Linked DNA regions of Neodiprion lecontei. The protein of the gene in region 1 purifies or fractionates together with the protein of each later gene. This does not show direct contact. Links are inferred from orthologs where the notes say so. Each region holds a gene or a part of one and is shown in the gene's direction. Other genes may lie near its edges.

Region 1 (10,833 bases):
CTTCCGGTCTTTTCAGTTCACTGTCTTCAGGCCAGTCTCGAGGCCACACGGAATTTACCCAATCCAATTTCCGTGCTATGTAAGGGGCCTCGACCATAGGAGACAATCTATAAAAATTTTGTCATTTTATAGCACAGATGCTCAAATGTCATTACACTGAAAATCAAATATTCCTGAGGCATGTGTGTTGAAATAAATCAAAGAATTTACCCCGTGTTCGTAAATTCTAGACTGATAACATTCAGGACTCTCGTACGGCATGGGTCGTTGTAATACTCGACAAAATCGCGAAGCTTCATCCGCACGTTGCTCTGTTTGGTGACATCGATCACATCCATCTCTCTATCTCCACCTAAGCAATACGAAAAGTTATTGGCAATCCGAAAATCTTGAAAATATTTTGAACTCCTACCAATGTAACTTTCTACATCATAGACACTGAAGTTTGCAGGTGGAACAGTCATGTCGAGGCCATCTTTGCCGTCAATGATAACAGGTGTTTCAAATCCATGTGTTTGTAAATATTGTAGTGTCAATTGCTGACCCCTGACATGTTTGATGATGTCATCAGACTTTGAAAAATGCCGTGATTTCAGCTCTCTTATAAAAACAGGTGTCCCAGTCTGGACTGCCTTTGAACTTGCTTCCGACTCGGCATAATCATGCCGGTGCCAATTCATTCTGGTTTTCACTGCAAGTGATGAACAAAAAAAATTAAATCCAACAAGAATAAAACTGACTATCAAGATTATCATTTTTTCATATCTTTTCTCTCGCTTCCTTGAAACTAAGTCCGTCTTGGCTATACTCACTCAGGGATGGGCCGTTTGTTTCCACACACAATGGGCAGTGGTACTTATCAAGATCTGTTGACGAATATTCCTTTACCGATACACATCTATTTGAATGAAATAATGTTATAACAATTGTTAAACAGCTTATAAGGATGATTAGGAAAAAAATTAGAGTAAATATGATAAGTTTGCTTTAAAAAAAGCCTGAAAATATCAAAAGAGTTTGACCTAACCTAAATTATGGTTAACAATTTATATTTCATGGGTTCCTTTGACTTGATAAAAACTGTGTGGACAATCTTAGCTCAACAACAGTTCTTGATTTCTCGAGTACGCATAATATTTTTAATAGTTTATTTCCGAACGATAACATCAATTGAAAAATTTAGATGCTTTTAGGTTATGTCAACAAAAATAGAGTGTAAATATCAAGCTGTCGAAGTTTAGGCCAACTATTTCCACGCTTCTCTGTATCAAATTATTGCCGTAGTATCATCATAGTTATAAAACCGTTTCACAAGTACTCACAAAATATTTTGACAGGTTGAGGATATTCGATTATCGAATATGACAACATTGACATGAGAGGTTTGTGACGCGGAGCAGCCAATAGACGCACTTTTTATAAACCAAGGAGCTTGAGGAGCTTCGTTATGCTAGCATCGTATAGGATTTAGGTGACTCACCCTCCGTGGTACCATTCCTTACAAACATCGCATTGTATCATAAACTGTTCGGGAGTGTAAGATTGACCGCAGAAACAATACGTTCCTGGCTGCGAGCGGGCAGCTCCCAGCTCCATTGTAACAATTACTAATATTGGGCGTTGTTATTCCGAAGCAGATTCCCGTTACTGAAGGTATTGACCCCTCGAAGCTGCGGCTATCCGCTACGGTTCCATTTTCTTAGCTGACTGAAAATTCCGAGGAATTCTTTTAATTCAATATTTCTAGAAAAATCGAACCTTCGGCTCACTGACTCGTGAAACGAACGCCTCCTTACCAGCCGCGGCGTCACGTCATTCATGATCCGTGCACTGATCATCGATGGAGCGTGAAGTCATTCGTGTCAGGTGTTATACTGTTTTGTCGATCGACCAATTTCAAAACATTCTCTTTTCAACATTGTTCCTTCGCTACACTACTGTTTTTGTTCTTGGTATTTGAATTCCTAATTGCAGCATTCATCTTTCACAGAGGGAGCGTTACAAATAACGATATGTCGAAGTAAAAAACATTAGTATATATCGAGCATGGCAGCCCAATAGACGTATGGAAAGACATAAAATCAATGTTTTCAGTATGATATCTAGTTTTGAAAATTGCACAAAACCACTTCTACCCCTGCTGAATACAGATGGATAATCTTCGTAGTTAGCTTCATATAATAATAAATAAACTTTGCAAATCAGTCAGAGTACTTGGATGGTGGGAAATCTGAAAAATTAAAACACAGAATCGAGCCCCTAGTCGTTGTCAAGTAATTCGAAACACAATTCACTTTGCATCTAGTGACAAATATTCGAAATGTGCTGGAATTGGCTGCACTGAATGTTCACAACCGATTCCAGCGACATTCAATCAACGACGGAGTTCACGTCAAGTACTACTATCAATATTACATACATCCCGTATGTGTGTCATCTCATATATATGTAATATTGCAATGGCAAATTGACAGTCAACCGCACGGTCTTAAATACATAGGTATACACAGTAGAGATCAGTGCGTACAGGTCTGGGAACTCACTCAAAATTTCACTGGTGGGGTGTCCTTTTATTGAAGCACGGGCCGTTTTTCCTAGTGACCACGAGTGTCGCTGCTATCGAGGGATTCAGGCTATGTGAGAGAGACGGAAACAGATTTCAAAACCGCGGACGGTCAACAACCTGTTTCCATCTCTTTCGCACAGCCTGAATCCCTCGGTAGCAACGACACTCGTGGTCACTAGGCGGAACAACCAGTGCTTCAATAAGAGGACATACCCCCATCGCCAGAGTTCCCAGACCTGTATGTAAAATCGTGGTCAACCGGCGTTCGGATAACTTTGTGACAAACACGATAGAGTTCATACGGCTAATCGTAAACGTAGATACAAATCCCACACGTCAGGATGTCGACCAACGTAACGTCGATTTTTAACTCGTTCCAAGATTACCTCAACACGGAACAAGAACTCCGTGAGGTACGTGTTTATAGACAATAATAATACGTGGTGTAAAAATATAATTAATTCAACGAATACAGTAAACAATTCGACACAAAATGACAACAATGTCAATTAACCTTTACACGGTTTTCTTGATTCATTCAGGAAATCCGAACTATCGTCAAAGAGATTGAACAAAGTGCAAGAGAAATCCTGATGGTACTTCAAAATATTCACAATGAGAATGTGTCCGAGGAAAATACTAGTATGATTGTAAATTTTGTAATTCTATTACCATCTTATTTTTTGTTTGCTAGATTTACTTATTATTTACTGTATATCAATTTATTTATTGTTTGCTTACTCAGTAGTGTCGGAACACTGTACTAAGGCAAGGTGTCTATTTGAGGATGTACGAAAGGGTTATGCCAAACTAGCCGCTGTTGTTCCTGAGAATCAATACTACCGATTTCATGAACATTGGCGTTTTGTCACGCAACGTTTATGCTTCCTGGCTTCTCTCACTATATATCTAGAAGTCAAAATTCTTGTGCACAAAGACACGGTTGCAGAACTATTGGGAGGTACGTTGACGATGACAGTATTACCAACTTATTATCTAAAGCCTGAATCCATAATTAGTTGTGTAATCTCTCTATAATTTAAGTAAAGAGCAATCGAGAGGAAGGATTTCACTTGGATCTTGAAGATTTTTTGATGGGACTTCTGCAGCTATCTTCAGAATTGGTATTCACGAAAAATCATTATTATTTGTGAAAATCGTTCACCCATAACTGCAGTACATTATTTATAAATATTTTTTCTAGTGCCGCTTTGCAGTCAACAGCGTAACGAGTGGAGACTATGATCGACCAATAGAAATATCCAGGTTTGTGAATGAATTGAACGCTGGATTCCGACTCCTCAATCTGAAGAATGACTCTCTTCGTAAACGGTTTGACGCCCTGAAATACGATGTTAAAAAGATCGAGGAAGTCGTTTACGACCTCAGCATTCGAGGACTGAAACCTGCTGTACCGCCTGCTCCAGTAGATTCGAAATAGAAAGGCAATTCTACTACCACAATACATTAACTATTACTCACGATACCAAGTGAGAAGCTGCGCCAGCATAGGTTTTGCAGTGAGGTTAAACATGTGGACATAATTCAACTTGATTTTGACAATCTTCTCGAAGATTATTGCGACGAGGTGCGACAGTGCCTAGTTTTTGTAATGCTTGATACCAGTTCGTAATAAAAATGACCATAGTTATACTATATGCAGTTATTTTATTTCCAACAACTAAGTCATTGATTCATTGCACATTCTTTATTGCTCAGATTAACAGGTCGATTAGTATCCCCTCGTTTTATTTAAGATACTTGGCATTATTTTCGGTGAAGAATTGCGCTATACCGTGCGATCGCATTACTTCAGAAATATGCGGCTGGATTGTAACCTGTAGGAAAAGACAAAATTAAGAACCGATGGTGTTCGATGGTTTCGTGCGTGGTCAAACGGTGTACATGACATCGCAAATATCGATGGTCTGATACATGGAGCCTAGAGTAAATGGTCTGATAGGAAAATAAAAAACATGCTCTTTACCTCTCTTCTCGTTTGATGACGAAAAAAAATCGTGAATATTTTTTGCCGTTTTCTGCTCGAGAATACGCTGTATTTTTATTAATACGAGTACCAAACTTCAAATCGATTCATCTATTACAGTTCGAGTTATCGTGTACACTGTTTTGAAAAACCTAGGTTTAAGTAAAATTGTTTAATATTTTTCTGAGTATAAAAATTTAATTAAGATGTATCTTACTGTTAATCTACCATTTCTACCTCGTATTGCATTTAAATCTTAACCGTTCAAACTATTATGAATATTCGAGGGAAAAAACTCTTCAATATTGATAACTTCACTCGTTAAACAACTCGTTGTGGAGAAAACGGAGGCAAACGAAATTTACTTGTACACGTGTGGACGCGAATCCTGAAACAGCCTATTTTTTCCCTAGTGGATTACGTTGGCAATGGAGAATTTCACAATCAACCCGTAGCAAGAATACGTTTGAGGTTTTCAAACATGGAGACTACACTTGTTCAAAGCAATGTATAAATAATTCTGAATTACCATGCTTAAACGGTAGTGTATATTCGTTGATAAATAAGTGACAATATTTAATACCAGTCAAAATAATATTTTCTGTAAGATCGTACCGATAATGAAGCTAAAGCGTAACATTCGACTAAATGGGGCAGCCCTACGCGAAAAATAGGCATTTAGTACTACATTAGCAATTATAATAGGTATTTCTCATTCGGTCAGACTAATGAGAGGCCATAATGTCAGGTTGAAAAGATTGAATCAGCGTAGCCATAAGCAGGCCGTAAGACGTAACCAACCAGCGATTTCGATAGCATTCTTACTGTTTGTTCAAATGCCGACGATCACAACTCGTTTCTTGTTGTGACACGTCACCGAGTGACAATCGGGTCCCGAGAGAACGAAACGGACACGTCATTTGCAATGTTTGCGAAATTTATACGTTCAATTTTGTAGCAAACGAAAAAGGTAACGAATAAAAACTTGATTGCACAGCTTGAGGTGGTTTTTATTTTTTATGTCTTTCGCCTGACATCCGCCCAAGTAGAAAATAAGCGCAAATTATTATCGAATTTTGGGGTTATGTCGAGATCTCAAGTAAGTTTAGTTGTGTTTCAGTGTTTTGTTCCAGGAAAATGAGGAGAACGCACGGGACAACTAGTCACAGATAGTCCTCGGAACATTTCAAAATTGATTCAAAAATGAGGCGGTCGCATTCGGGTTAGTCGGATGTGCTGAAAATAAATAAACAAATCTTGTCTGTCAAGTTAAAACTAAAGGTATTTTCTTCCCGTTTTCAGGGGGGTATGCTTATGGGCCGTTGCCAAGCACCTCTCACGATGCTCTGGAGGAAGAGAACGAACGGATAGCCGATGAACTGAAGGACAAAATAAGCCTCCTGAAGGCAGTGTCCATTGATATTGGTACCGAGGTTAAATACCAGGAAAAAATGTTGAATGGAATGGTTAGTAAGGAGGCTAATTAAACAGAATGCGGAAAATCAAACTGACAGAATTCAGTGTGACCAATTACTGAAATTAGAGTTTGTCTTACAATTATGTTTATTCAAATTTTGTTTCAGGACGAAGATTTTGAGAGGACGAGTGGCTCCCTGACTTCCTCTGTGTCTAGAGTATTGCGTATGGCGAGGGCAGGACATAATTATTACATCATTTACCTTTTCCTTTTTTCAATTGCTGTATTTATTGTGTTATGGCTTGTTCTTAAATTTAAATAATTTCTATAAGGTGTAGAGACACGCTCCAACTTTTTTGCGCATTCTTAGTCTACCCATTGACTGAAGAATATAATTTTAGTTATGAAAGAATATATATTCTTCAGTCAACGTTCCACCGTATGAATGACATGTTATTGGTGAATGGTATTTCTAATTCTACATGTTATGTGTAATAGAATAATTACTTGAATCATTCAAATGTAAAATACAAAGAACGTTTATTTTCAAAATTTCGTTATTATGAAAGGCCTAAACTTAGAATTGGAATGTCAATCTGTTGAGTATTTGAAATTTTGATGTTCGAACGTTTTTTTTTTTTCTTTTATGGCGGGTCATAGTTCCGCCTTTTTGATACAGACTCCATATACTTACACGTCGAAAATCGGCATCGTGACTTCGACTTGTTTATCAGTGCGATTTAACGATGACGGATATCAACGAATCTGACTTGTACAAGCTATTTAAGAAATCTGAAGAAGCTGAAAGCGTCTATACAATCGGAACTACCGTAGACACAGGTACAACACATAATAATACACGTGTTACTGCGTTTGTTTTGTTTCTTTAAACATAACCTAAACGTGTGATACAGGTTTGGAATGGCAGGCGGTTGACGAATGCAAAGAGAAGGTGGATACGACTTTACACGTTGTCAAGGAGCGTGGAAAAATCTATTTTAACATACGTCTGGACCAATTTTCAAAAGTACTATTGCCAATATTATCATGATGCCGGTATTCGATCATCGTTTGTACAAATTTTCTTTTTGCTCCTATTAAAAAAAAAAAAAAAACAGGTAAAAGAAATGAGATCGATTGACAATATTTTTCTGGTATCCGATGTCCGTCAATTCAACTTCTCAGAAGATGATGGCGAGACTGATTTGACGTTGCTAAAAAATGCAATAGAGAAAGATCTCAGGCTAGAAAAGGGTTTGGAAGCATGGAAAGCAATGACTGGCTTTCGTGGCAAACTTTACCCTAAACAAGAAGAATTTAAAGATGCGGATAAACTGCTCAAAGCTGAAAAAAATCAGCCCCCGGAAGATGCAGTTGTAGGGGATGTCAGGAAGGGAAGAAAACGGGGTAGAGATCCGTCCCTATCCAGTGAAGAAGACATCCTCAAGTACAGAGTGACTTGCGAAAGAACAGGTTCTCATGCCTTTGAATCTGGTCAAGTTGCGAGAGTAATCGGGGGAGAATTACAAGATAAATATTTCTGGCTAGTCGACTTGACCATGTACCATCTGGAAGTCATTTGCAATCTAGTTCAGAGTGGGTTTCCTCAGCACAGTTAAAATGTGAAATACATATTGAGGTTCATCCTTCAATAATTGAAGTTTTTTGATCTGCTTACTCACATTTACAGATGAGCTGGCAACCTGTCTTCGCATAACTCATGAGTCCAAACATCGCCGTAATATTATTCACTTTGGCCCAACTACGCTGCGAGCTACTGTGTGTTATAGTTTATTACGACTTGCGAACCCAAAGCCAGGGGATATCATAATCGATCCAATGTGTGGCGGAGGCTCCATACCGATCGAGGTAGAACGATTACCCTTGAATAGATTTGACAAAAAAACACAGCTATTTTTCAATATTTTTAATATGCCTTTACAATTTGATAGGCAGCAATCGCTTTCCCAGATACATACGTTTTGTGTGGAGATAATCATGAGAAAGCTGTTGCTAGAACAAAGTTAAATATCGATGCTCAATCTATCAATCATAAGACAGAGCTGATCACATGGAGTGTCGCCAAATTACCGCTGAAAGATTCTTATGTTGACATTGTGGTAACTGACATGGTAGGCATATCATTGCTTATATGCCAATACAACATATGTCTTTTGCTATTGTTCGTTGTTATTAATTTTTCAGCCATTCGGAAAGCGAAGTGGTTCAATGACAGACAACAGAGTGCTTTACAAAAGATACATTACAGAGTTGGCTCGTGTTGCAAAACTAGGTACAGGACGTCTGGTTCTACTGACTTACGATCGTCGCAGTATTCAAATGGCAAGTGGGCTCAATTTTCACAAGATATTTGTAATACTTGAAACGCATTAGAAAATTCATTTTTTTCGCATCTTGCAGGCTTTACAATCCGCAAGCAATTTATTCAAAGTGATAAAAATGCTCGGGGTTAATATGGGCGGGTTGCACACAGCTGTGTATGTTTTGAAGAGGACCAAGTTACCGTATAACCCGTAGAAGAGTAATTCTTCGACTTTGCAAGACTGATAAGAATCAAGCACAAGTTATCAGGATACTTTGTTTATTGTAAAGTGGAAAATATGATTTCCATAAACATTGAATACCACGATTTAAAATTATTTATGTTCACGTGCCTAAACGTATTTCAGTAGGCTTCGATTCAGCATCCAGTAAAAATTATGCATACGTATACAAGGCATATACGGCAAAAACGATGTCTATTTACTACAAGAAGAACTTTCTTCTGCTAGTTTCCATGGCATGTCGACGTCCTTGTATTATCCATTCGTATTCACCATATTTACTGTCGAACGTCCCTCGTTGCAGAGATCTCAATTTTAGGGTGAATCTTGGGCCCAATTCTCTGAGCTTTGCTTTCCCCTTTTTTAGGTCAAACTCGTATCTGGATGGATTAAAAATGGATGCATTAACCAATTTTATCGTTGGAAAGATTGTTAAATTGAAAATTCAACAAGCTTAATTCTACCTATGATGTCTAAAAAAAATATAATCTCGCTGATTGTGAAATGTGACTGCCCTGCGTCCCTTGAATTCGGGATCGTAGTGAAACAACGCCCCAAGCATTCTTCCAACCGAATGTCCTAGCCTGGTCGTGAAATTGTTTAAAATCACTTCTGGACGATGCTCGGTTATTTCTTTATGCGATCGCTTCAACTCTGGTGTAATTTTAACATTACTAAGTTTGAACTGCGCCGTTGGACCATCGGGCAGGTGCACAACAAGCATGCCATCTGATCGGCGTTATTAAGGAAATGTAAGAACAATAGTTTAAAAAAATTGGAGCAAAATGGATAAGACACGGATGTCAATTTTCATGCCATTGAAAAGGATACTTGGCTGTTTCATATTTTCATTTATCACTATCAAGTCCGTGAATCCCTTGGCAATTGCACTTTTAACCATCTTCTTGACACCCGATCTGTTTCTGTAGAGCGATATAGAGTTTGGAATGATGCGAGTCAACTCGCGACCAAATATTCTCGTTTTTCTGAGAGGGTTGTCAGAGTAGGTAATGAGTACTTTGGGCTCATATGTGTGTTTGTAATAGGATGCAAACTCGTCGTGCTCAAAATCTACTTTGACCTCAAGATTTTCCTCCGCATCAACGTCGCCCTGGATTGTAGTCTCGTCCTTTTCACGCAGACTTTCGATGGTGTGAGGGACTTTTTTGGGCTCGCCATCCCTCTGGCGTTTTTTCCTTTCTTCTTTTTTAGCCTTCGCCTTTTGCCTACGAAATTGTTCACTTTTTTTATGGCGAACTATTTTGCATTTTATGTGATTAAAATTGCTGTCGCTCGGCAATGAGACTTTGGGATTTTCGGGTGGCGCGATCTCGCTAACTTCAGTTTCTTCCTCCAATGGGACTTCACGTTTCAACGGATTTTTTCGTAGATTCTTCAATTTCATTTTAACCCTCAATTGTGAAGCGATCTGTTTTTCAAAATATCACGATCTCAGCTCACGCACAAAACCATGCGTACTAAATTTCAGGTTATGTGTTGAGAAGATTTATGTATTATACGATTTTGTCACGGCGCATGCGCACTGTGTGTTGGGTTGCGTCGCTTCTAATTTTTTCTGACAACTCATCTGTATTCTTCGTGATTATTTCATGGTTCAGCAGCAGATACAGTAGCGTTCTGTGGGAAGGAGAAGGTTTGCGATTTTGTTAAACGCAGTTAAACGTTTCACTCAAGGAATCATGGTGTCAATATTATTCGAAATAATTTCATAAAATCCGAAATTACACTGAAATTAGTAATATTGAAATAAAAGTCTGCGTTACTAATCAGTGGCAGTTATGAAAAATCTTTTAGGATAACAGAAATCTCGTTGTAATGTTAAGAAATGATATGAAATCTTAGAAATCGTGAGAAATCACCTACGCAATGTAAAATTATTTGTCAAGTAATCTCTCGTAATCACTTTATAAAATACAAGTAATCATGAAATATTTTAATCGTGGTGTGACTTTTTTCTCAGTGAAACACCCTTTACCAGAGTCTCTCTTACTCGCCGAGTAATCGGAAAATTCAAACGTACGCCTGACGCTGCAATCAACGGCAATTCTGTACACATCCTAGGCATTTTTGCGCATTTCCCGCGCACAGTTCTGATTGGTCGAAAACTTGGTGGATGAGACGATTCCGGGAATCGGAGCTCCGCTTGACAGTCCGCGTTGGTCCGCGTCATTCGCTCTCGAACAGCTGGAGTGAAACGCCGGTCGACAACAGTCTCACAATCAAATCAAGATCGCGATATTCAGTCTGTGTAACGTATTTTCGTAAGTGGTTGCCGACA
Region 2 (10,873 bases), on another chromosome or scaffold:
CCATACTTTTGAGAAAGTCTGACAGCTAACTGAACTCGTTTCTATAACAACAGGACTGTGTTTGTATCATAATAAGAAAGTGGCGTGTTTGCATATTGATTAGTTACTTCTTCAGAATCAAGATGAATTACAAAAATACAGTTTTTGCCTTCGAAATATGACGGGAAAGTTGTCGGTCGCAACATGATAATCAAATAAGGGAAGTAAGCTAACGAATATTTCTGCTCGAAATATTAGATATCTTTTTTGTTGAAGGAATCGTTACAACTTTGAAAAACAAGAGTTTGTGGCAATGATTAAGTTGATTTTTGTAATGTGTATATCTTAAAATTATAGGACGACTTGGTACTATTCTAAGCACGAGGAATCTGTCTTGTGTTATTCATTAGAAATACAATTGTGGGATAAAAATGTATTAAATAATTTTTTTGATTAGTATGTACTCGTATATGGTGCATTCAATGCCAGCCAACCAATTTCGGACTCTCAACATTGTTGTTTTTGTCTAAAAAATGTTTGGCTTCGGTTTTTTGAGTTTTTTTTTTTACAATTAAAGAAAAATTGAGAAAAAATAAAATCAATTATCAGTCGTTTTTGGGCTACTGTGCAAACATTTTATCATATATAACCCAGGATTTTTAAGAATTTTTTCATACTTTTCCAAAGTGATTTTCTGTTTTTAGATGAAAAAATTGTAAATTATTAACTGTTTCGGAAAAACCTAAAAAATTCTCAAATACCTGATGCTACATATAAAAATGTTTGAGCAACCACGAATAGAAAACTGAGAATTCCATCAAATTTTTTTAAATCTATATTCCGAAAAAAACTGGAAAGAATAAGAATGAAAAAAGAAGAATGCTAGCATACTCTGAGCCTAGGTTTAAAAATTTTGATATCTGACATAAGATATTTGAGAATTTTTACAGATTTTTAAATTACAGCCAAACAAATGTCAGTTTTAAAAAATCTTGACTAAAACAAGTTCAGTTCAAACAATCTGAAAAAATTCAGTGTACTGTTTTGGAGTTGGCATAATAGCATGAAAATTTTTGAACAAAATCCAAAACAGTGAGGGTCCAACGCTGGTTGATTTGGCGTGGAATGCTGCATATACATTGATAGAATATGTTTTCCAAAATACGTTTATTACCTTTAGAAATTATTTTGTGTAGAATTCAATGGATATAACTTACCTTATTCTGCCATTGGCAAATATTAGAGAATTTCTGAAGTAATGCTCTGATTCCTGGAAGGTTTTGTTCAAAAATATAGATATTGAGTAATACTAATAGATGAAAAAAAATTGCCGTCAACTTACTATGTTTGTGTTGTATGATTCTGTTTTATTGTGTGTTTATCAATAGTGTGACAAATTCCATTGAACATGTAGACTGCTAGCCAGCATCAGTTACTTTACAAAGTAAATGCCTTTCTAATAGACATTTTTAAGTACAGCGAAAAACTATGGTTGTTTGTAAATCATGTATCTTCGTAAGAACTTGTAAGACCACCGGAAGAAAAAGTATTTCACCTTTATTTCAGTTTCATTTTATTTATGTCCTAATAACAATAGCTGTATTGGATGGCTTTCACTTTTACTAAGCTGTATTTATACCTAATTCATTCTTCGACTCAGACAGTAAGTACTTGCCTAAACACAGCCATACAGGCAGCAGATAATAATCCTGCAACTGGTACAGTGATTAACCACGCAAAGGCAATGTTACGAAATAGCGCCCAGGACACACCACCACCACCACGTGATACCCATCCGACACACACAATCGAACCCACTTTACAATGCGTCGTTGACACTGGAAGACCAGCCTTACTTGCCAACAGAACTGTTAGTGCTGCACCTACCTGTAATAGTTATAGTTAGTTATCAGCAAATAAGAGCGCAATAATTGGAAGAAATGGATTGTTGGGATCGAATGCATTTGCAGATAAATCATAGTGACATTAATAATGCAGCGGCATGTCTTGTAAGTAAAAAATTGTCTCATACCTCAATTGTAAATCCACTAGCTGGAGTAATTCGTGCTAAATCTTGGCCGAGTGTTCGAATAACTTTTCTCCCCCATATCCAAAGTCCAACTGATATGCCTAGTCCTCCATAAAGAAGAATAGGCAGAGGAGTTTCTGTTTCTTGACGAACAGAACCGTCAGCATAGACTGCCCACAATGCAATCAAAGGTCCTATGGCATTGCTAACATCATTTCCTCCATGAGCAAAACTTCCAAATGCAGCAGTTAATACTTGGAGAAATGAGAAGAGTTTTGATACTTCTACTGGTTCTTCATCGTCTCTTCCAGCCTCAACACTCGGACCTTCCACATCCGCCCCAACAGTTAATAATAAGGGACTCGCACTAGTGTTGCCCCTAAGCTTTGGTGTTTCTTCAGAATTTTTACTAGATGAAGGAGCTGGAGCAATGACTGACAGCGCAGTTGTTTCTTTTCTATCACACGCATCGAACTCTGTGGCACCACCAACACCATCGCTAGCCAATAATATTCTTTTTCTCTGCCATGGGACTACAAATGTGTATACAACAAAAGCGGACAGTAAACCACTAGTTACTGCGGCTATAATGCTACCCCACCAGGGTATGTTATCCAGCTTCAACACTAAAAAACCGTTCGTACTTGTTATATAGGTTTATATATTATACATACATGGGGCAAGTTTCCTGAATAACAAGATTTCATCTGGTGAATTGTGGTTGAGTTCAAGTGAAATGCCTCTGCTTACCTAAACCATGTGTTTAACTTACGTTTTGGCCCATCGTGTGCAACCGAGAGTACATTTGTAGCAATGGTTAGGCCATAAGCTAGTGGGAGGATTCGGAGACCTCGGTCCAGGGGTTTACTAGCTTGTAAAACAGTTTTTCTCAGTGTTAAGAAAATGGAAGCTGACACTAGGCCGCTTAGTACGGGACTAGCAAACCAAGAAGCTGCTATACTTCCAAGAGCCACCCATTTTACCTAAAAATATTAAATAGACTGCTGTAGAATTTTCTTTGCATTATTCAAATGGAGAACCTTAACTTTTCAAGAATCATTAGAACTAGTAATTAAATAATATAGTTTCTTTCACCTACTTAGTTTAACTTATGAGTTGTATTAAGCCAATTATTTATCATTTAGTATCTCAAACTTTTCTTGTCATTGTGAAGAACATACCCCTGCAGTGCCTCTGCATACAAGTGAAAAGCCAACAGTTGCGCCAACAATCGAATGAGTCCCAGAAATAGGAAGACGCAAGGCAGTTGCAATCATCAACCAAATACCTGAACCAACAAGACTAGAAAGTGCACCGAGCATCAGTTCTTTCTCATGTCCCTCGTACAGTGACACATCGAGTATGCCTTTGCGCATTGTATCAGATACCTAAAATCAGGGCGAAAGAGTTTTAGCATTATAATTAAATGTACTGATGTGCAATGATGGCTATAAAAGCACTTCGAGTAACAGGAAAAATTTACAGATGTTGCACATTTACCTTATATCCTATGAGTACAGCCCCGGCTATTTCAAATATTGTAGCTAAAATGCAAGCTTGAACTATTGTCAGAACACCGGCACCCACACTAGTTCCAAAACTGTTTGCGACATCATTTGCCCCAATTCCAAATGCCAATATAAATGCGACGATGAATCCAACAACTACTAGCCATATTAGGCTTTCATCATATGGTATAGCCATGATTAGTTTCTGAATTTGATCTTTTTTACTTTAAATTTCTAAGTAGGTACTTTAACTCTGCTATTCTATTTCACATCATATATGTATCTATGTCCATTCAGTTCTCTTCCCTTATGTTTATGTATAGTATACATACGTGCTTATTACAGTATAATAATTGATTTTCATTTAATACTTGAAGAGACGCGTATTAAAGATGAAAAGCTACCCTATACATTTATATATCGTGTATAAATACGTGTTTATATCAGAATATATTTCATTTTATACTTAATAAGTTCAATTCAGTTTTCATAACTTTGTACATATAGCGGAGGTAGAATTTTAGCATAGCGCCTGATTTCTCCAGCATTATGATAGAATTTATCATGGTTGTAATCTGGGTTAATAAACTATTTACCATATTAATCCAACAAGCTAGTTAAATGCATTACTTCTAACGTCACAGACTTTGTTAAGGTTTGAGTTACTAAACTGAACCCTATAACTATTTTTTAACCACGTGATTGTTCTCGTACGAGAGCAAGACATGTGCTTCTCTCCCCACATCTGGAAAAAGTAAGTATAATTGTAAGTTGAGAGAATTAGCATCAGGGCAAAGCATGAAAACTAATTATTATAATTAACTCAAAATCCATTTTTTTTCTTTAGTGGATGAAAATATTTTCATGTAACTTAGAAAATTCTGAATATTTATCTATCGAATTTTTCAGACTTACTTTTGAAAAATTAGAAAACCACAACATCCTGAACTAAATGTAGAAAATTCGAGTGTTTTAGAGAAACCTGATTAATTTTGGAAAATGTTCAAATTTGGTTTTAAGATTTCGCAAATTAATAAGGATTAGAGCAATTCATAATTTTTCCAAGAAATCGCTTCAAATACTCTCCATTTCGGAGTTAGGTATATGTTACATAAATTTTCAAAAAAACGTTCACTGCGATGTATTCGATTCCTTTCATTACAATCAATTCAAGTAAAAAAAACATCTTCGGATGAATGACTAATACATGTGTTGCAGCGGTAAGCGCAATTGAATTAGTGGCTGTTCCATTTTTGAAGGTTTTAGATCGAATCGAGATGAAACGGCTTTATTTTCTATGTGAAAACTCTCTTCCAGAAATCATTTGAACACGAGATATTTACTAAATGATGAAGCAGATGATTAGATAGTTTTCGTTTATGATGACATGTACGGCATGAAAATTATATTACACATATCTAGGTATATAATTATATGGTCACTATAGCATCTTTTATGACACGACTTGGTAAAAATCATCTGAGTATCAAAGTGATAACAATTTTTTACATCAATTACGAAAATTGACGATGAAACAATGCAATTCAAATAACTACTGCATCTACGGACGGTCACGTCAGAACTGGACTTCCTTTACACCCGCGTGCTGCAGGTATAGAATCCTATCTTTCTCGTTTAGATGTGCGACACATGTTAATCATTATAATGTGAATTCTATTACGCAATCGGCAAGTGCCAAATGTGGTTACAATGATTTAAATTTAACTAAACACAAACGATGCATACAATTCTGGTCATGCATACATCGTAGAGAACCGTCGGGCGAGAGTAGATTGAATCTGAATCGTGATGTAAATTTTTTCCTTTATATGTGTACTCAAGATGGGAAACGTCACAATCGATTTACCGAATGAACACACTTTTATACTCTGATCTGGCAAACTAAAATTAGTATAGCTTTGTAAATAGGTAATAGCGGATGCAAGAGGGTGAAATATTGATCCGTCCGACACGTTGCTTTACGTTATGACTGAGCCTTATGGAGTGAGCGGAGCTCGCGGAAACTTATTTTTTACTTACAATATTTCATTTAGCGTCACGTCAATTAGCCGTTAATTAACGCTGACACTGCTAACGCAGAGGTTTCCTATTTTTATCCAATACAAAGGCCTCACTGCCTGTAATAATACGTTAATAAACTGCGTATAAGCCAACAACACGGGGCTTTAATAGTACCTACGCATCGTACTATTAGAATAAGATTTCGTCCAAAATTTCGTCTTCGTTTTGTCATCAAAATCTGCGTAAAAATACACTTAACACATTTACCTTCACGATCAATTATTTCGGATTAAATTCTTCAAGGGGTTGCCTTCTTCCCAATTCTATGTATTATCACAAGTTTCTCGATTATCTTATACTTTCCCCGGTTTGTTACGCGATTCTCGTCGGGGTTGCCTCATGCGTTCGATCTTAACGCCTTTTTCTAGGCCACCCAACTTGCTTTACGACTAGGCGAGTAGCTAGCAACGCCACTGCACTCTAGCGCCAGCGGACAACTGCAATTCCAATTTCATTCCAACATGATTCCAACATGAAAATGCCTGACGTGACACATGATGTCCACGTTACATCCGAATCTCTGACTGACTTTAAATATTATCAGACAATGTTTTGACGGTGGAACCAATGAATTTATCAATTATTCCATCGCAAAGTTTCGATGCAGCTTCTCGAAAATTTGAAAATTTGTGAGTATTGAAAAAAGCTGTGTAATGCGTTAATAATCATTACATACGTGTTATCGAAAGACATCTGTCCACCTCGTACTCTTGTTGCATAATTTATTTATTCAAAGATACGGATTATTTCCACCTGTGATATCAATAACGAATATTTAATACCCGGTGATAATTGCAAATTCTGCGCGTGAAATCCTTGAGCGTAATTAAATCATTATGCCTAACAAATGTTTTAGGTTATTAACTGGCAATAATAATATCGTAGCCGGATAGATCACGTCATTAAATTCTGCTGCATAAGCTTATCGTAACATAAATCGAGGCTTTAAAGAAACTATGGAGACCTTGTATCATCAGACGAATAAGCTAGTGCAGGAAACTCAACATTCGTTTTCTCAACTGGAAAAGAAACATTCGGACTTGGACCTTCAAGCAATAGAGCATGACATACAGTCGAAGATAAATCTCATCAACAGGTAGGTTAAAAAATAAATCTGGCAAACAAAACATCATAGCTTCTCCAATTAGCTAGATAGTGGATCTTTGAATACCTACATTGTATTCCGGAAAGATACATAACTCATTCCTAACATGTTTTCTTTTGCTTTTTTACGTTTTCAGTAACTGTGAACGACTTGATATTTTGTGTATGAAGGGTCCTGTATCACAGAGGCAAAATGCCAAGATGCGAGTGGACCAGTTGAAATATGATTCGCGGCACCTCGCTGCTGCTTTAAATTCGTGGCGAAGTCAACTTACTCGCCGGCAAAGGGAAGAAACTGAACGTGAAGCTCTTTTGTCTAAAAAATTCACCCCCAACGACCAAATAGATATCATGATAGATCACAATCTTCAGCATAATTCTAGTTTGCGAAATGCAACGCATGGTATGGATGACCTAATTCAGCATGGCTCTGGGATATTGGAAGGCTTAAGATCGCAAAGATCTACATTGAAAGGTGCTCATAAAAGACTTGTCGATATTGGAAACATCTTGGGGCTTTCTAACACAACGATGCGGCTTATTGAACAAAGAGCTCGGCAAGATGGATTAATATTGATAGCTGGGATGGTTTTTACATGTTTAATTATAGTATTAGTTATAATATATCTTACATAGCTGTATTTGTACATTTTTGAATGTATATACTACAATTTCAGTTCAATCCGAATTGAAAATATCACAACTAGTAAGTTTTTCCAAATGCTAGACAGACTGTTCAGAAGTACCTTGTATAAAATGAGCTATAACCTACCGAGGCGAATATATAATTATTGTAACAGATGGTGTCATAGTGGAATTTGCATGTTGCATTCGAAAAGAATTAATAATTTTTAATCATCAATACTTTAGTGATTCTTTCAGTATCTTGCTTTTCCTGCATCTCCTTTTACAAGGACTAGCTACTTTACATTCTAAATGGTGGTTAAATATTGACAGAAGGATAATCGGATAATAATGTAGATAGAAGTAATCACACTTTATATCAAACACCAAATCCCTGTAGATGTTTCTTTTTAGATATATCACTGCCCTTCGCCTGTAGTTAATGAAGTAATTTAATTTCACATCTATGGATGTTTTTAGTTAGTATGCACTATTTTAAAAATTTGCATACTAATCCAATCTAATTTTTTTGACAATAATGTCGATAAACCTGTGGCTGTTCCATGATTGACTGTCGGATTGTGTTGAACGAATTTATATTTGGCATTAAGTTGGTTCCCGGTAAAATAAAACACCACAATTTTACATAAATTGCCGTTGAATTCAATGCTGACGTTTTGCGATTTTCACGAAGTATTTGTTATTAATTAACCTATTAACGCGAGCTTGGAAACATTTTAATATCAAAATACTCCTGATTATGTTCGGATACACAGCTGAACCTGTAAAAACAACAAATTCCGTACCTCCTCCTTTTCTTTCAAAAAACTAATTGTAGGTAAATTAAACAAATCCTACACCATTTAAATCTTCAACAAGACTGTTTTGTGATTGTTTCGTCTTTTCCGATTACCAGATTCTGTTTAAAAATTGTGGAACGTTCGGAAACTCTGTTGGAAATTTACTTAAAAACTGGAAAGTTAGATAAATTTTTTGCACAAATCACATGAAATTGTGCAAACTTATACATTTCAGTCGGAAACATTGGTTTTTCAGTAGTGATGATCGGCTCTCAGTTGCCATTTTTCAATTCTTTTTTCTAACCGATCACTTGCTTCTTATTTTATTTCAAAGATGAAATCCGTTTTTAAAATATTTTTGTTGGCAGTAGTTTCCCCCATTAGTTTTTATAAACACCACATTTTTTCGGCGAACTCTGTTAGTATAATTACAAAATAAATTGAATCGAGCAGTTGATCTTTTGAAAAATGCTGGAGTGGATTTTAACTCCACGTTTGCGACTAAAAACTAAATTCACAGGAAAACCCGATAGTGGTGAAAACTTAAAGGTCAGAAAAGAACAGAAATATTTCTCTAAAATTTAGTTTTCGTAAAATTTGCCGAATAAAATATTGACCAGATTCCTTGAGTTCAAAGCTTGCTCTGCTCTGAATAAATCCCCTCTATCTGCTGCAATTGAGAATTATAGCGAAAGGAGGAAGGGTCAGGCCCAAATCCCCCCTTTCCTTCCCCTCTGCCCCTCCAAGAACATACATCCCCACCAGTTCCTTCTCAAGCAAGGTAATTTTTTAAACGCGGATCATTCCGAAAGCTGCTTTTCTGGTGTAAGGAGGTTGGTCGTGGCACGCTGACGATCAGTCTTTGATTTATTTTCTGTTCTCAACTACGTGATAAGTCAATGCAGAAGCTGGGCGGAGAATTCGTTGTCTAGTGGCCTTGGATGAGTTTGAGTTCAGTCCACGTTTCCAAATCTTATTCGTGACTAGATCCACACTCATCCAAGGATGCTGGACCCATAACACGGAGAGCCGAGCTATTAAGGTGACCCCCTAGAAGTATACAACGTGCGTCTAAGATGATTCAACAAGCTTCGTGAAATATTGATTACAAATAAGCTGTATGTAATGAAGTTTTTCGTACTATAATAACCGTAATTTGATTCTAAATTGTCGTATGTCGCCCGATGGTTCGTATATTCTTTTTAGTTTCTTTGTGCGTGAACACCTGCCGTTTCTTCCTCCCTCCCTAGCCGTCCTTCACGAGTAACGGTAAAATTCCAAGCCCCATGAAATTTCTCAGGCGAGGCACTCGGCCGAAACCACCCTCGCTTCCCTTTTTAAAAAAGCAATAGGATGCAAGTAGCACGTAATTTTTCGAAGAAATAAAGTTCTCTTCAACTTCTTGAAGTAAATATTGTATAGCATTGATATAACAGAAACGAATTACCGATACATCTGGTAAGGATTTTATTTAGGATAATAACCATAGAATTGATCATTGTATCATTATATGCAGATGTAATAAGGTATTGTAAGATTTTGTCAAGGAGGTTTCATTTTGTTCATTAAACTCATACGAGTCGTCTGCACTATTTAATACAGAGATTCATAAATATTACAGATAATAGTCGTTGAACCTTACAAATTTCCTTTTATTCCATATTAATTCCGCGAGTTTTCAGTTGCCGTAACGTGGGAAATTAAATTTCTTCTTCTTTGTGAGTATGATCCTCAATTCAAGGATATGTGCCAATGAAAATTCAACGTACGCTCCTTCTGAAACGTGCTGGACGCAGGTCAGGTTGCCTACGGTAGGGCGCGCGGTAATGTCAGCTTTTACGCGAAAGAAGCAGTTCTATAGGAGGAGACAACCAGGTCCTCATCCAAAATCCATTAAAAATAGATTTAAGACTTGGGTGGGAAATAGTGGGAAAAAAATTAATCAATCGACCAGCAGTTGAGACTATGTTACGTGGGCATTTATTATATAAACGTATCTACAATATGGCATATGTCGAAATGTAGTGGTGTTATAATTCCATTGATTTAGGTGAAACATCACTGAAGCAAATGTATACGTAGTAATTTATACCAAAGCGTATGTTTATAATGAAACTATTCCACTATTTCCAAAATATCGACAAATTTATTTTTCAATTCTGAAACTAGCCGTAGAGTGTAATATTCCTATATAATGTCTGAAATTAGTAGTTTCAACTTTCAATAATATCGATATAAGATTATGCATGGGATTGAATATGCAATGCTGATTATTATGTTAATCCAAATGGTTAAATAAAATTGTTGAATTAATTATCAGTCTACCACTTCAACAGTTGATTATCAAATATAAATTAATAATGACTTGTGGTATTCTTATTCCGTTAATTCATATAGATCGCTGGAAAAAGGATGGAACTCATTATAAGTGCAATAAGAAACGTAGTAAGATGATACAATTGTGATAATACGCTAACTTTGAATTAATGTACACGTGATAGTCACCTTGTGTCATTTATATTTCTCATTTTACGTGAACTATGCGGAAAAAAATTCTTTGTAGCAACTACAACTGAACATAAATGCTGAGCACAAATCGTCTTCTATTTTTATATATTTTAAGACCAACATGATGTGACCTAGTACTTTTTGTTATGTACGTACACAATTTGAATTACATACAACGTACAATATATCCAATAGTTATATATTTTGTCATTGCCAATAATAATTCTCCAGTTTTTTTT
Region 3 (12,199 bases), on another chromosome or scaffold:
TGATCTCTGGCTTGAAAACGAAAGGTCAAGAGTATGATAATACTCAATTTTTACCGACTGAGTAAAATGTCGATTATTTCAACCATTATCAAAACCTAGGCAACATCATGATGTAAAAGTTGTGCATAAGCGCAATCCTACTTGCATAATGCCGGACAAAAATAGTCAAAAAAATTTTTCTTTCATACTAGAGTAACGCTAGCAAAGTGGATTCCTGCAATTGCTAGCGTACTCCAGTATAAAAGAAAACAAAGTGATATTTAATGCGGTCAGTAAAGACTGAGTACATCATTCTCGTAACGAATTGTGACAGAATAAATGTGCCGCGTACTCGTAAGTGGTCCATCTCGTGTTGGGCGATTCTAGCAGCCCATCCCACCGCTTCCCAGGTAACGGGTTTGCCATTGGCATCGAGACCCGAAACTGTAACAGCTCTGGATCTTGAAACCTCCGCGTCAAAACCGCGAATACTTTCACACCCTTCCGGAAACTTCAGTACCGAATAATCACGGACTTTCAAAGTTGGGTTGATAAACACTTGAAGTGGAAAGGGTTTCATTTCCCGTACTCTTATGGTATCGGAATCGTAATATTTTAGTTGCTTTTCCGTCAACTCAGCCATAAAAATTTGCAAAGAAACTCCTACTTGAGGCGCTGCCAAGCCAACAGCGTTGTAATGTCTCATTACGGCTTTCATATGATCCAGCAACTGAAATTTGAGACGATATTCCTAAGTTTTTAAACGATCCAGCAAAAGTGGGATATACCATTGTTATTATGGAAATATATGTCTTCAAATAGATATTCTGAATCCAGTTTTATAGATACGTATATGTAAGTATTGCTGCTCATCAAATATTCAGCAGATACGAACTACCAGCGCATTTTTTTTTAAAGCACGAGGCAAACTTTGACGCGTACTTGTATTGTAAATATTAATTCAATATTTAAAAGTTCGACAACCGGATATTTTGATATTTTAAGCAAATTGACATAATTTCGAATAAAATTTCATCCAAGAAAAGAAACAATTGTTCCAGTACGTGAAAAGTACTTTCGACAGATCTGAAAATACTATTGCATCATGTGACCATGTTCTTTATAAACAAACCGGCACTCGAGAATTGTAGTTTTCAGAACTTTTACTGAAATGTAAGTTTTACAAAACTGCCTAACATGCGAAAGACGGAAATTCTCATAAAAACCAATTGAAACTCTTAATTTTAGCCTGGTAAATCTGGAGAAATATGGTAATAATCTACCATGTAATATCTTTATTGACTAATTGTAAACTCTGAGAAATTTCTACAACTTATTTGTACCTTTTGAAATACTTTTTCCGTGGTGATTTCTGGGTCGACCGGCGACGCGCACGCCCTCAAGACAGGGTCGCCAGCTTGACAGATATGGTGATATGGGGGCTGCACCGTATCTCTGCCTAATAACGTTTGATAAACTTGCCTAACTTTCCGAAAACTGAGGCTTCTCCTGACTTCATTGTTGCCAAAAATCATTCTACGAAAGATCAATCGATGGGCACAAGCTGCCGGAGCCATTGCCAACTCTTAAAAATGCCTATAATATATCTTTCGCTATTCCCAATCTCGACGTAGAGGGTCAACACTGACGTCTGCAAGAGCGGAGCTTCAGAGAGCAGTGTGCCTAATTTGTTGGCGCCCTCTCATACGAAATAGGTTTTTGAAACTAATTTTCAAGATGTCCTGGACGGTAAATCCGGGTCGGTTACCAATCTGCACCGTACCGTGTGCGTCACAAAACTAGTCGGTAATACAGAGAGATGTTCACTATAGCGAAGTGCCACTGTAGTGGTCGAAACTGAACAAATCACAAACCTGAACGAATAATGTTATCGCAGCATAAATAAGTAATTAACAAACGTTATGGGCTTTAAATTTATGGCAAGCATTGCTCGTTGACACATAATTCTGAAGACGCTGAGCGGATAACAACTTGTTTTTCATGTACTAGATAAAGTTTTGAACGAAACAGCCATTTACCGGAATTCGCTCTGAGTAGACTAGGAAAATCCGAGTTTATCACGATTCCATACGCATTACACAATATTGAGGCAACAATTTTGCAATTAGTTTCATTTACGGAACAATAAAATTGTAATTTAGAAAAGTGCAAATTATTAGTTTTATTTGATCAAAAAAATGAATCGTTTTCTAATTTTCAATAAATATTAATCTAAAATAACCCATCTTCCTTAATTTGAGAATTCGTTTTCTAGTACCTCGCTTATTAACTCATTATCAGCCCTTCCTTTAGACAAATTCAATAAATTTTTACGGCAATGTTCGTCAATTGTCCATCCAGCAATGAGAAAAATGTGTAATATTTTGCGTCAGAAGCGGATCTGCCAACTATTAGTTGTATTGTTAGTATAGTCATATAAAACGCTACATACACATTTGGGTGGTTCAAAAAGTTTTTTTCCGTTCTTACCCCCTCAAATGTTAGTGTTTAATAGAAGAAAAGAGCTCTTTAGCTCAAGTCTAACAGGTCTCTATTTTAATTTTAATTTCCCATTCATTTGACATGGGAAAATTCGTTAAATGTTAAAATACTCATAAACTGTTCAATATTGTTCAAATTGATGCATAGATCCTTGAAGCTGATTCTTCAAACTTTTCAAACATTTATAACAAAGCATAGTTATCATCATGAGAACACTACCGATTTAATCTTTTTCAGTAAAATTCAATAAAAATAGTTTTCCGATGACTCTAATCTGTGTCGTAAGTGTAAACTATTCTGTAGGAAAATATTGTTTGGATAAACATTCTGTAGAAAAATATTCTGTAAAAACGAGTTTGTAGTTCTATAAAAAATGTACTCTGTAGAACTGATTTCTGTAGAATCGAACCGCATTCTGCTAATATAGTACTCGTACCATCTCCGATTGAATAGGAATAGTAAAATTACACACTTTTAACAGTGCAATAAGAATATAACAGAATATTACTCACACAATATACTTGGATCAGATTTCACCTCACTACAGACTAACCGTGTAAGAATATTTTTTATTTTTTTTCCCTATTTCAGTCTTTTGTGACGTATTAATAAATGAACTGGGCCAATAAATAATAAATGGCTAATAAAATAAGCACAATTATTGAAGGAATGTATAAAGTCAGTGGGCAGCATTCAAAATGTTTGCTATCATTTCCGATCAAAAGCGACAATGTAATTAAAAATCGTTGTTACATACCTTTCAATTGTCTTCACTGTAGCAGTTGGTTTACTCTTCACTTTGTTCTCGAACATCGATTGATCGGGTTACTTAGTTCAGATCATTGCTCGAAGCGGTCAATAGTGCTGCGATGTAGTCTGTCCCTGTAATCGAGTAAGAAATAACAATATTTTATAAGTTTCTTATTTTCCATATGAATCCATCCCCCATAGAAAATTTACAATATTCTTCCATAATATAATCAAGGCGTGTATAGCAATAAATTTCAACTAACAATAAAAGATAAATACCTCAAAGTGAAAGTAGGATCATAGTATAATCAGGAATGATTTCAAAAGTATCTATTTTTCGTTCTTCTACAAGATTCTGACGTGCTCAGCATCTGCATTTTGTTTTCCAGCATTGATTGCTAGAACCACTTAATATAGATATTCACTTGTAATGACAATCAATCTTGCCGTAGTCTGTTCCTGTAATCAGGTGAAACAGCACATTTTTTTACTATTTCATGTTCAAAATCCATATTGTACTTGAGACCAAATACATGCAATTTTGGTGTATTAGCTTATGCCACTACTCAAATATGTTGTAAATGACATAATCGAGTGAAAAATGATCTGGATTGTTTGGGACTTGTCACATTTCTGCAATAAATTAATCTGGACACCTACCACATAATGTTTTTTAAGATTTAGTGACTGGGTCTTTCAATCCAGTAAACCACGTCTATCAACGTTGTTGAAGTTGGTTTCTGTAATCAGGTAAGACAAGACAATATGTTGTTAACAATGTGACTTACAAATCCACACAAGTAGCATTCAGAACTTAATACAATTATTAAAAAATGTCATATAAGGAATAAAAACAAATGAACGATTTACATTCGTTTGTGTTCTTTATTTACGATCACTTCGTCATCCGTAAGATGTACGGAAAATTTACCGAGGTCAAACCACTTGAAATTTTCAAATACGTAACGTTGTAATGTATGAATTTCTGTTACAGTACGCTACGAAATAAGGGTTATAGTATCGGTCCCCGGTAAGAAATTCGGAAGAGATGAAGTGAATGACTCGAAATTCGAAGAAATACTCACCAGTGATAAACACGAACCAAAACATGCTTTCGAACATTACGTTTTACGCATCCTATGAACGCAGCTACACATAAAAACAAAGCACTCTTGAACTTGCAACGGTCGAGTCTTCCTTTCGGCTAACGTTCCAATAAGGTTGATTTTTTATACACAAGAAATAATACTAAAGGGTTGCATCCACATTCGACATCGATCCGCGATCCGAATTCCGAGACGTGAACTCGAACGAAAGTCACGTTTCGCAAAGTCCGTTTTATCAGTAAGTAAGACAGGAAACCGTGACAAAAGACGATCTCGGCATATTCACGTCGTAAAACGCGTGTGACTTTGAGTCGAAAATCCGTTCGAGAGTAATTTGACTCTCAATCTGTCGATAATGTATTTAGCAAACTTTAGAAAGCCAAATAAATTTAGCAACGAATCTGCATACAGTAATAACACTCAAATCCAAGCTCACTCGTACTTTTTGTACTGTAACTGGCTGCCTGAACCGACTGAATAAACTTGCGGACGACGTAACTACGCACTATCCAAAAAACAGCAAACAAACATTAAAACAACAAAACAACGCTGACAAACGAGAAAATTGTACAAAAGAATGAACACTCGAGACATGAAACTCACCTTCGATATTCACCGGCTGCTGTTACTTCAATAAGCAATTTTTACGTCGAGCCACGCGTTTACGATTATTATATTAATTATCCTTTTCTTCTGCTTCTTGCTCTGTATGGCTATATCTCGCGAGGGCGCCGGGATACCATCAATTATCAAATTTAAGCTTGTTTACCAAATCATGTTACACAAACTGAACACGGCGATCTATATTTTGAACTGATGCCGCTACGAACCTACAGGTATAGTTGACACACGTGGCTCTGCTTCGGTTACTTGAAAGGAAATAGCGGCGAATTGACGAATAGCGAATGCCCGATGACGACGAGCGATTCGGCTGTGCAAAAGCAAGTCTGGACCGGCAAACTGAAGATGACGATCTAGCTGCGTGCGACGAATGCACAGTCTGGCGATACGTAAAAATGGATGAAACAGAGAAGAATCGCAAACCCAGTTTTTTTTCCAAAGCACGAACACAGGATTGAAACTAAAAAAATAATGTTACCGATGATGTAGATTTCTAGATAGATATTTAGCATTGGTTCATCTCGTGTAACACTGTCACCTGTAACGATTGATTAATCCTCTGCGAAAACCCAATTTCAACCCTTCAATGGAGATTGTACATACTAATAGAAAACAGTAAAAATTTTGGAGTAAATTTTGAGTTTACAAAGTTCATTATTTATTCGTATATGTCGCAATGGTATCATTTCTTAATGTTTGTGATTTGTTCGGTTTCGACCACGACTGTAACACTTTGCTATGGTGAATATGCACTGCATTATCTACTGCTTTCACGTTGTGTAATACAGCAAAGCATTTGTTGCTAACGTAAACGATAGATATACCGGTACTACAAGCGCCTACTGACCTACGATTTTATAGAATTTAATGCAGGTGACGACACTTGTCCATACATTTCTGATTAAGTAATAAGATGCAATCCACTCTGGCTGTTCTATGGTATGTGACTCAAATTCAAACCGGGAAAAATTACTTTAATCTGCTTCAATGTGTTGGTTAAAGATATTTTATGCTGACGACGGGATCACGGATATAAAAAAAATCTTCTATATGAAATGACGTTCTTCCAACAGGAGAATTATTTAATCTATACAGTCATTTCATCTAATACAATACACGGACTTGCGACACATGTGTATTTAAAATTTTTTATGAAACTTTTTGTGTTGGCCAGTGGTAAGTCAACGGTAGGTAAAGGCCCACTCTATACATACTGTCAGCTCTACGGTGTAACGAGCACTGTGATCATCACACTTGCCTCTATACGTGGAGTAGTTAAATCGTAGAAAATGGCAACTGTTGCAGGTGTTATCGGATGGGAAGGTATTTATTGGCAATATAAATTATGTGTTCAATAAAATATCGTAACGCAATAACGTTAAATTATAAAATGAAATTAACATTCTTTCTTCGTATGATATTCCGAAAGGAAATCTTATAATTCTTCACTCCCGTTCGATGCTATCGTTCAGTTTGACTTTTGACAGATCTCACATAGCGTATTGTGTCAAATAACCAGAAGTAAATACATTCCAATTTACATGAATTTAACAATGCTCTAAGTGGCATACCCTGCATGAAGATCATGCTTTTATTTGTTATTATCGCTCCCTTTCCTGAGCTACACATAAACATTGAATAGTCAACCTTGTACAGTCACACAATAAAATATAAACATATCATCATGAACAGCATAACAAAACAATAGATTCATCTTAATAACGGTCATGCTCTACAGAAAGTTCATACTTTGCTGTGTGAATGAAAAAAATATTTTAATATAAATCAGTGATAAGTTATTGCACTTTTAAATTACTTTCAGAACTAAGAAAACAAGCTCAGCATCTTGAAAATGAAATTGATGCGAAACTTGATGCCTTCAATAAATTGGGTGTCAAAGCAGGATCTGCTCATTCTAGTAGCGATACTGTTCCTCTGCTCGATGAGGAGCATGTATTTGAAAATATGGCTACAGAGATAGAATCGCTATTCGCCAAGGTAAATAAATTAATTTCACTTAGCCTGAAACATGACATTTTTTAAATATGGCTCTAGCTTCATTAGCAAGCAGCCAATTAGTTTACTCTAATCTTCATGTAGAGGGAAGTCCCGTAACGCCGGACAGCAACTAGTACTAGACACACATGGTATATCCCATAGTCAAAGCAGTATCTACAGCTTTCTTGCGTGATTTGACATGTGCAATGGATGTAATGATGGGGGTATATACCGCATGCAGCAGCGTGCATTCGTGCGTTGCTGAGAGTCAGTTCACGTTTGAGTCTGCATAAATTTTCGTCGCACCTAATTTTCACATGCTTATATTTTCAAAAATTAGTGGTTCTGTTGTTTTGTTTTTCCGCTGGCATATTTTTTGGTATGTATTCTTTCAAACAATGTCCAATGAAAGTTGATATATTGCGAACGAGCACATATTTTGTCATTCACGCGTGCATTACAGGTCCCTAATACCGGACACTCGATTTGTCCCCCAGTACCGGACATCCATTTTTTTCTCATCTTTTTGTTATTTATACAAAACTTTCACCTACTTATTTTAATAATATTTTACCATAACTAACCAATCGAAAATACTCAAAAAAGGAAGATGGTCCGAAGAAAACATGAAAAAGGCAGTTCAAATGATCTTGGGTGGAAATATGACCGGTAGAGAAGCTGCGCTGAAATATAAACTACAAAAAAGTATCATGCAGGGCTCAAATTTTAAAGAACTGGTGCACGAGGTGTACGCAGATATTCCTGAGTTCTCTGAGCAATATATTTGTGACCATTGCAAGATTTATTAATGATTTCTTTCCATTCGTACTATCAGCGTCCGGTACTAGGTGCCTCTTTTCTGACTTACTGGTATTTACTACTAAATACAATAATATTTTTTACTTAGTTTAACGTTATATAATAATTCACAAAGTTACTATATCATTGAAAATACTCCAAAGATGAACATAACCATAAAAACCATTATGTTTTCACGTAGGTTACGATTTTATTTACGAATATCCTTATGCGTTTGGCACTGGGGGACTTCCCCCTATGCTTTTAACTTTGCTAATTTCAATTAAAAAAACAAGTCAAATAACGAAATAGTGCTTGTGAGCTTGCTTTTATTATTGATTCCAGTTATCTGCAGTAAATGACAAAATGAGTGAAATAAAACCTGATGGAGGGCATATGTTGCATAGGATACAACGTCACAGAGAAATTTTAAAGGATTATAAGTTGGAATTCAATAAAACTCAAAATAACTTCATCGCCAGACGTGATAGAGAAGATCTCCTTAGCAGCGTGCGGAAAGAAATTGAGTATGCACCTCTTACAGTATTATATCTGCGATAGACGTTCCAAAAATATCTGACTTATATTTTTTTTTCACAGTACTCATGAAATGTGTTATTTACTATTTGAATATACCTCAAAATCTGGACTCTGGCAGGATTAGCAGGATTTGCAAAAGTTTAAATAGAACAAGAAGGCAAAATTTTCATTGCAAAGTTGTGTGATACCAATGAAAAATTATCATGACTAATTCATAGGAAAAATAGAGATCGAAATATGCATTATAAATTGTTACCCCATTCAAGTTTTGTGTGATTCAAAATTGGAGTGTAAATAACAGATTTAAGTGAGGTCAGGTTAATAAAATTAAACTAGTTCCTCTTTCAAGCATGTTAATATACAATCTGGAGTTGCAGTTGTATTCAAGTAGCCATGAGTAATGGCATTTGCTGCGGAAATGATTTTTTATTAATCTAACCAGATGTTGTTAAATTTCAGTAACTATAAAAGTGGCAGTGGTCTCAATAGGAGAGACCAATACTTGAAAGAAAGTCAGCACATACACAAGTGAGTATTATTTGCAAGCAGCCAACATTTAATCTGATGAGTTTATAGAATAGTGAGGTTTCACTGAAGCTTCGGAAGTAAAGAAATATCATGAACAAAACCTTACATGCTAACAGTAAGTCCGTGTATTCCTTAGTTAATCTTAAAATGATGAAATGACATTGATTCTATTTCAGCTCTGATCGATTGGTCAATGACCAAATAAGTATAGCAGTTGAAACGAGAGAGCACTTGGTATCGCAACGCCACACGTTCAAACGGATTCAAACCCGTTTCAACGACATCTCTAATCGATTTCCAGCTGTGAACAGTTTACTGCAAAGAATAAATATTCGAAAACGCCGTGACTCTATTATTTTAGGACTGATTATCGGATTTTGTACATTTCTGATGCTACTTTATGCATTTCATTAAGTTGGATTGAGTTGACATTAAAAAAAAAAAAAAACTAGGACTTGGTACCAAATATTCGGTGTAAATAGATTCAAACGTATAGACATGTAAAATTAAAATATAACTCAAGTTGAGTAATGATTGAAATTTTTATTACGAATATTTTGAGCATCGATATTATTACGTGCATGATTTTTCAACATCTTAAGACATTCAAATGATTTGAATTGACGTTCTGACCCTACGACCATTATTGAAAAATTACATAAATACAGTACATAAAGCAAAAGGCGAGATTAACGTGCCAGCAGAGACACTAACAAATTCGAAGTAGTTTCAGCTATAAGTAATCGGTAAATCTTTTCTCTCTAGAACAAGTTTACACTATATCTTGACTTTCTGAAGCACTAAAATGAATTACAAATGCGATTACCTGATTATTAGTGCCAAAAGTTAATAATTGTAAACTTACAGAATTTCAAACCTTTCATGCGGAAAAGGTATTCAGGTTTAATATATATACCTACTGTCCAATTGACCATCATCCTTAACCAAATTTACTTTACTGACTGACTGCGTAAAAAACTGTCGTTTATATATGTACTCACTCACTAGTTACACGTACCTGCATTCAGCATTTTTCTACCTAGAAGTTTGTTCAATGACTGCTGTAAAATACACATTAGAAAATTTCACCATTAACTCTAACTTTTTTGTTTTCCCCGTAATATTAAAGTTTACCAATGTCTTCTATTTTTTTATTACAATCTCATTATACTACAATAATTATATCAGTAATGAGCCTTTACTAGATTTCTGTAAGTTAATACTTTATTGAAATGGCTTGGTTAGTACATTAATGTGCTGGTGATTATGTATCATATGTAAATATGTCAGACTGAAATAAAGAGTACGACGTACATACGCATCATTTTCCAGATAGTTGTTTTTTTCAAATACCACGAAGCCAAGTAATGAAAAATAATCAATGATGAATCTGCCAAGACGAATGATCAGAGAGCAATAATTAAAATACTTTTATTAAGGAACGGTTTTTCTAATATACCTGTACAGATCTTTTACCAATTCTCTCTCGTGAATTTATGAACGCTTGTTGATTTTCTATAGTTATATAGAACATATAATAATTATTAATCAATACTTATAATAACGAGGGGTATTTCTATTAGTTACCATATCGGATAATTGGAGTCGCCAATAAGCTAAATGAAGTGTATTCCTATATTCAATGACATGGGTATATTGAAAGATGAGGGTGAAATTACAATTAAAGAAGCATAAACATATAATAATACCTTATATTGCACGCCCAATCATGTGCAGAAACTTTATTGTTACAACGTAAAATAACATCGTATGTACCAAGTATCGATCAACATTCCTCTGCATTTTTACGGAAATTGTAAATAACTGTGCTTTACAATTACGAAAAACCGAATTGGAAAATCTGATATCAAGATTGAGATATGCAATGGATTGCAACAAGTACGGGTACAAGTTAAAATGTTCTTCACAATTCTTACAACCTGAATGAGAAATTTTAATACCAAGCTAACGGATATAGCGTACAATTGGTAAAAAATTAATAAGGATGAAATAGTTTTAACTCCTAATTGAAAATACCAAGAACGAAATACTGTTACTTTTTTGGATGTGATTTTTATTTATTTGGATGTGAAACACTGGTCTCATTACGGCAATAATTGCACTTTGTATGTACATCCGTTATAGCTGAGAAATTAAAATTCCACAAATTTTACGTCCTCCCACAATCGATAATATAATCCACATTCCCTACAACTTTTATATCATACTCAGATGTGTCGTAAAGTAAATAAAAATTAGCCCATAGGAAGGTAAAGCATGGATAGTGAATGTATGTGGTGTATTGTCACATTCCTCCTTTTCACAGTCTCTCAATTCAAATGCATGTTCACATGGACGCTATTACTAATGAATCTCAAAACTAAGAAATTGAAGGAAGAATGCTACATGTCACCTTCAGTAAAAATTACAGATCACAGTTATTGAAACGTGAATAGTAACAACATAACACCTTTTGCCTTATGGATGGTGATAACAACTCTTTCCCAGTTTTTACTTCAAAGGGGAATATTTGTGCAAAAATGATGGGAAGTACACAACCACAATAATTCTAAAAACGATTGTATTCAAGCAAAGTTGAAACAGGGAAACTATGCATCGTACACATAACTTGTTTCGCCATCAAAACTATATTGAAATTATGTAATTGTTGTGTAATTGTACTCAGATAGATTGAATTACGACTCTCAATACTGTATGCGATAGCTGGCAGAAAAAACAAAAATAACGCTATTGAACTGTAAGTCAATTGTCGATTTATACAGTTATATGCCTGCAGAAGTGTTAAATTGCTCACTTATCTGTGGTACTTCATTTTATCTCACAACTAAGTGTAGGTGTGAGTTAAGTAAAGAGACTTAGTCATATGCCAATTTCAATGACAATTGAAAAATAAATTTTCTTAAGCAATCTTCACACGGAATTGGGATGGTAGAAAATGATGCATACTTTGGTACAAAATTAAATATTTCGATATGAATTGCAGAAAACACAGAGGAATGTAGAAACGTAAATCATATTGTGTCATCTTTGAAGACGTTTGTTGAGGTTTGAAAAAAAAGTAGGATTTTTTTGTTTTATTGAGTTATCTGGTAGACACTCATCTTGCATTGCGATCCATACAAACACCTAATATACACCACGGGTATTATTGTGAATATAAATATATCATGTTCAGCGTGTCTAACATTAATAGTAATCATTAATTGAATTATTATATTTATATTATTTAGTAGTATACTAAACCATACTGTTGCCTACTATTACCTACATATGGTACCTTGAACTCAAGCATTATCCCAGCTAAACTTTTAGCGTGGTTCATATACAATACGCTTTGCATTCTGTACCTTAAATTT

What was found. Proteins that work in one complex are often made in the same cells at the same time.
Region 2: the proteins of BET1-like protein (region 1) and Golgi SNAP receptor complex member 2 purify together in Homo sapiens (affinity purification with mass spectrometry; 3 studies listed by BioGRID and IntAct, with this or other methods). This does not show direct contact. The link is inferred for Neodiprion lecontei from reciprocal best matches to the Homo sapiens genes BET1 and GOSR2.
Region 3: the proteins of BET1-like protein (region 1) and Golgi SNAP receptor complex member 1 purify together in Homo sapiens (affinity purification with mass spectrometry; 3 studies listed by BioGRID and IntAct, with this or other methods). This does not show direct contact. The link is inferred for Neodiprion lecontei from reciprocal best matches to the Homo sapiens genes BET1 and GOSR1.

What each region holds. Positions count from the first base shown.
Region 1 is NC_060264.1:34,539,604-34,550,436, reverse strand, and holds BET1-like protein, read left to right. Parts: upstream 1-4,983; 5' UTR 4,984-5,094; intron 5,095-5,367; exon of another isoform or gene 5,368-5,523; intron 5,524-5,662; exon of another isoform or gene 5,663-5,673; 5' UTR 5,674-5,756; coding exon 5,757-5,775; intron 5,776-5,855; coding exon 5,856-6,019; intron 6,020-6,136; coding exon 6,137-6,292; 3' UTR 6,293-6,716; coding exon of another isoform or gene 6,717-6,810; 3' UTR 6,811-6,884; coding exon of another isoform or gene 6,885-6,997; 3' UTR 6,998-7,000; downstream 7,001-10,833. Other genes in the region: histone lysine demethylase PHF8, read right to left, coding at 1-107, 211-352, 413-691, 813-898, 1,481-1,596; translin, read left to right, coding at 2,908-2,979, 3,109-3,208, 3,312-3,527, 3,611-3,690, 3,771-4,007; THUMP domain-containing protein 3, read left to right, coding at 6,717-6,810, 6,885-6,997, 7,089-7,566, 7,661-7,839, 7,923-8,313, 8,392-8,444; probable ribosome production factor 1, read right to left, coding at 8,737-8,914, 8,999-9,263, 9,366-9,939. UniProt on the Homo sapiens protein: Required for vesicular transport from the ER to the Golgi complex. Functions as a SNARE involved in the docking process of ER-derived vesicles with the cis-Golgi membrane.
Region 2 is NC_060263.1:23,683,872-23,694,744, forward strand, and holds Golgi SNAP receptor complex member 2, read left to right. Parts: upstream 1-6,070; 5' UTR 6,071-6,227; intron 6,228-6,454; 5' UTR 6,455-6,554; coding exon 6,555-6,694; intron 6,695-6,839; coding exon 6,840-7,338; 3' UTR 7,339-7,977; downstream 7,978-10,873. Other genes in the region: sodium-dependent phosphate transporter 2, read right to left, coding at 1,636-1,866, 2,012-2,634, 2,781-2,991, 3,190-3,396, 3,509-3,712. UniProt on the Homo sapiens protein: Involved in transport of proteins from the cis/medial-Golgi to the trans-Golgi network.
Region 3 is NC_060262.1:25,007,728-25,019,926, reverse strand, and holds Golgi SNAP receptor complex member 1, read left to right. Parts: upstream 1-6,159; 5' UTR 6,160-6,247; coding exon 6,248-6,281; intron 6,282-6,780; coding exon 6,781-6,956; intron 6,957-8,099; coding exon 8,100-8,281; intron 8,282-8,753; coding exon 8,754-8,822; intron 8,823-8,998; coding exon 8,999-9,236; 3' UTR 9,237-9,303; downstream 9,304-12,199. Other genes in the region: peptide deformylase, mitochondrial, read right to left, coding at 332-709, 1,323-1,556. UniProt on the Homo sapiens protein: Involved in transport from the ER to the Golgi apparatus as well as in intra-Golgi transport. It belongs to a super-family of proteins called t-SNAREs or soluble NSF (N-ethylmaleimide-sensitive factor) attachment protein receptor.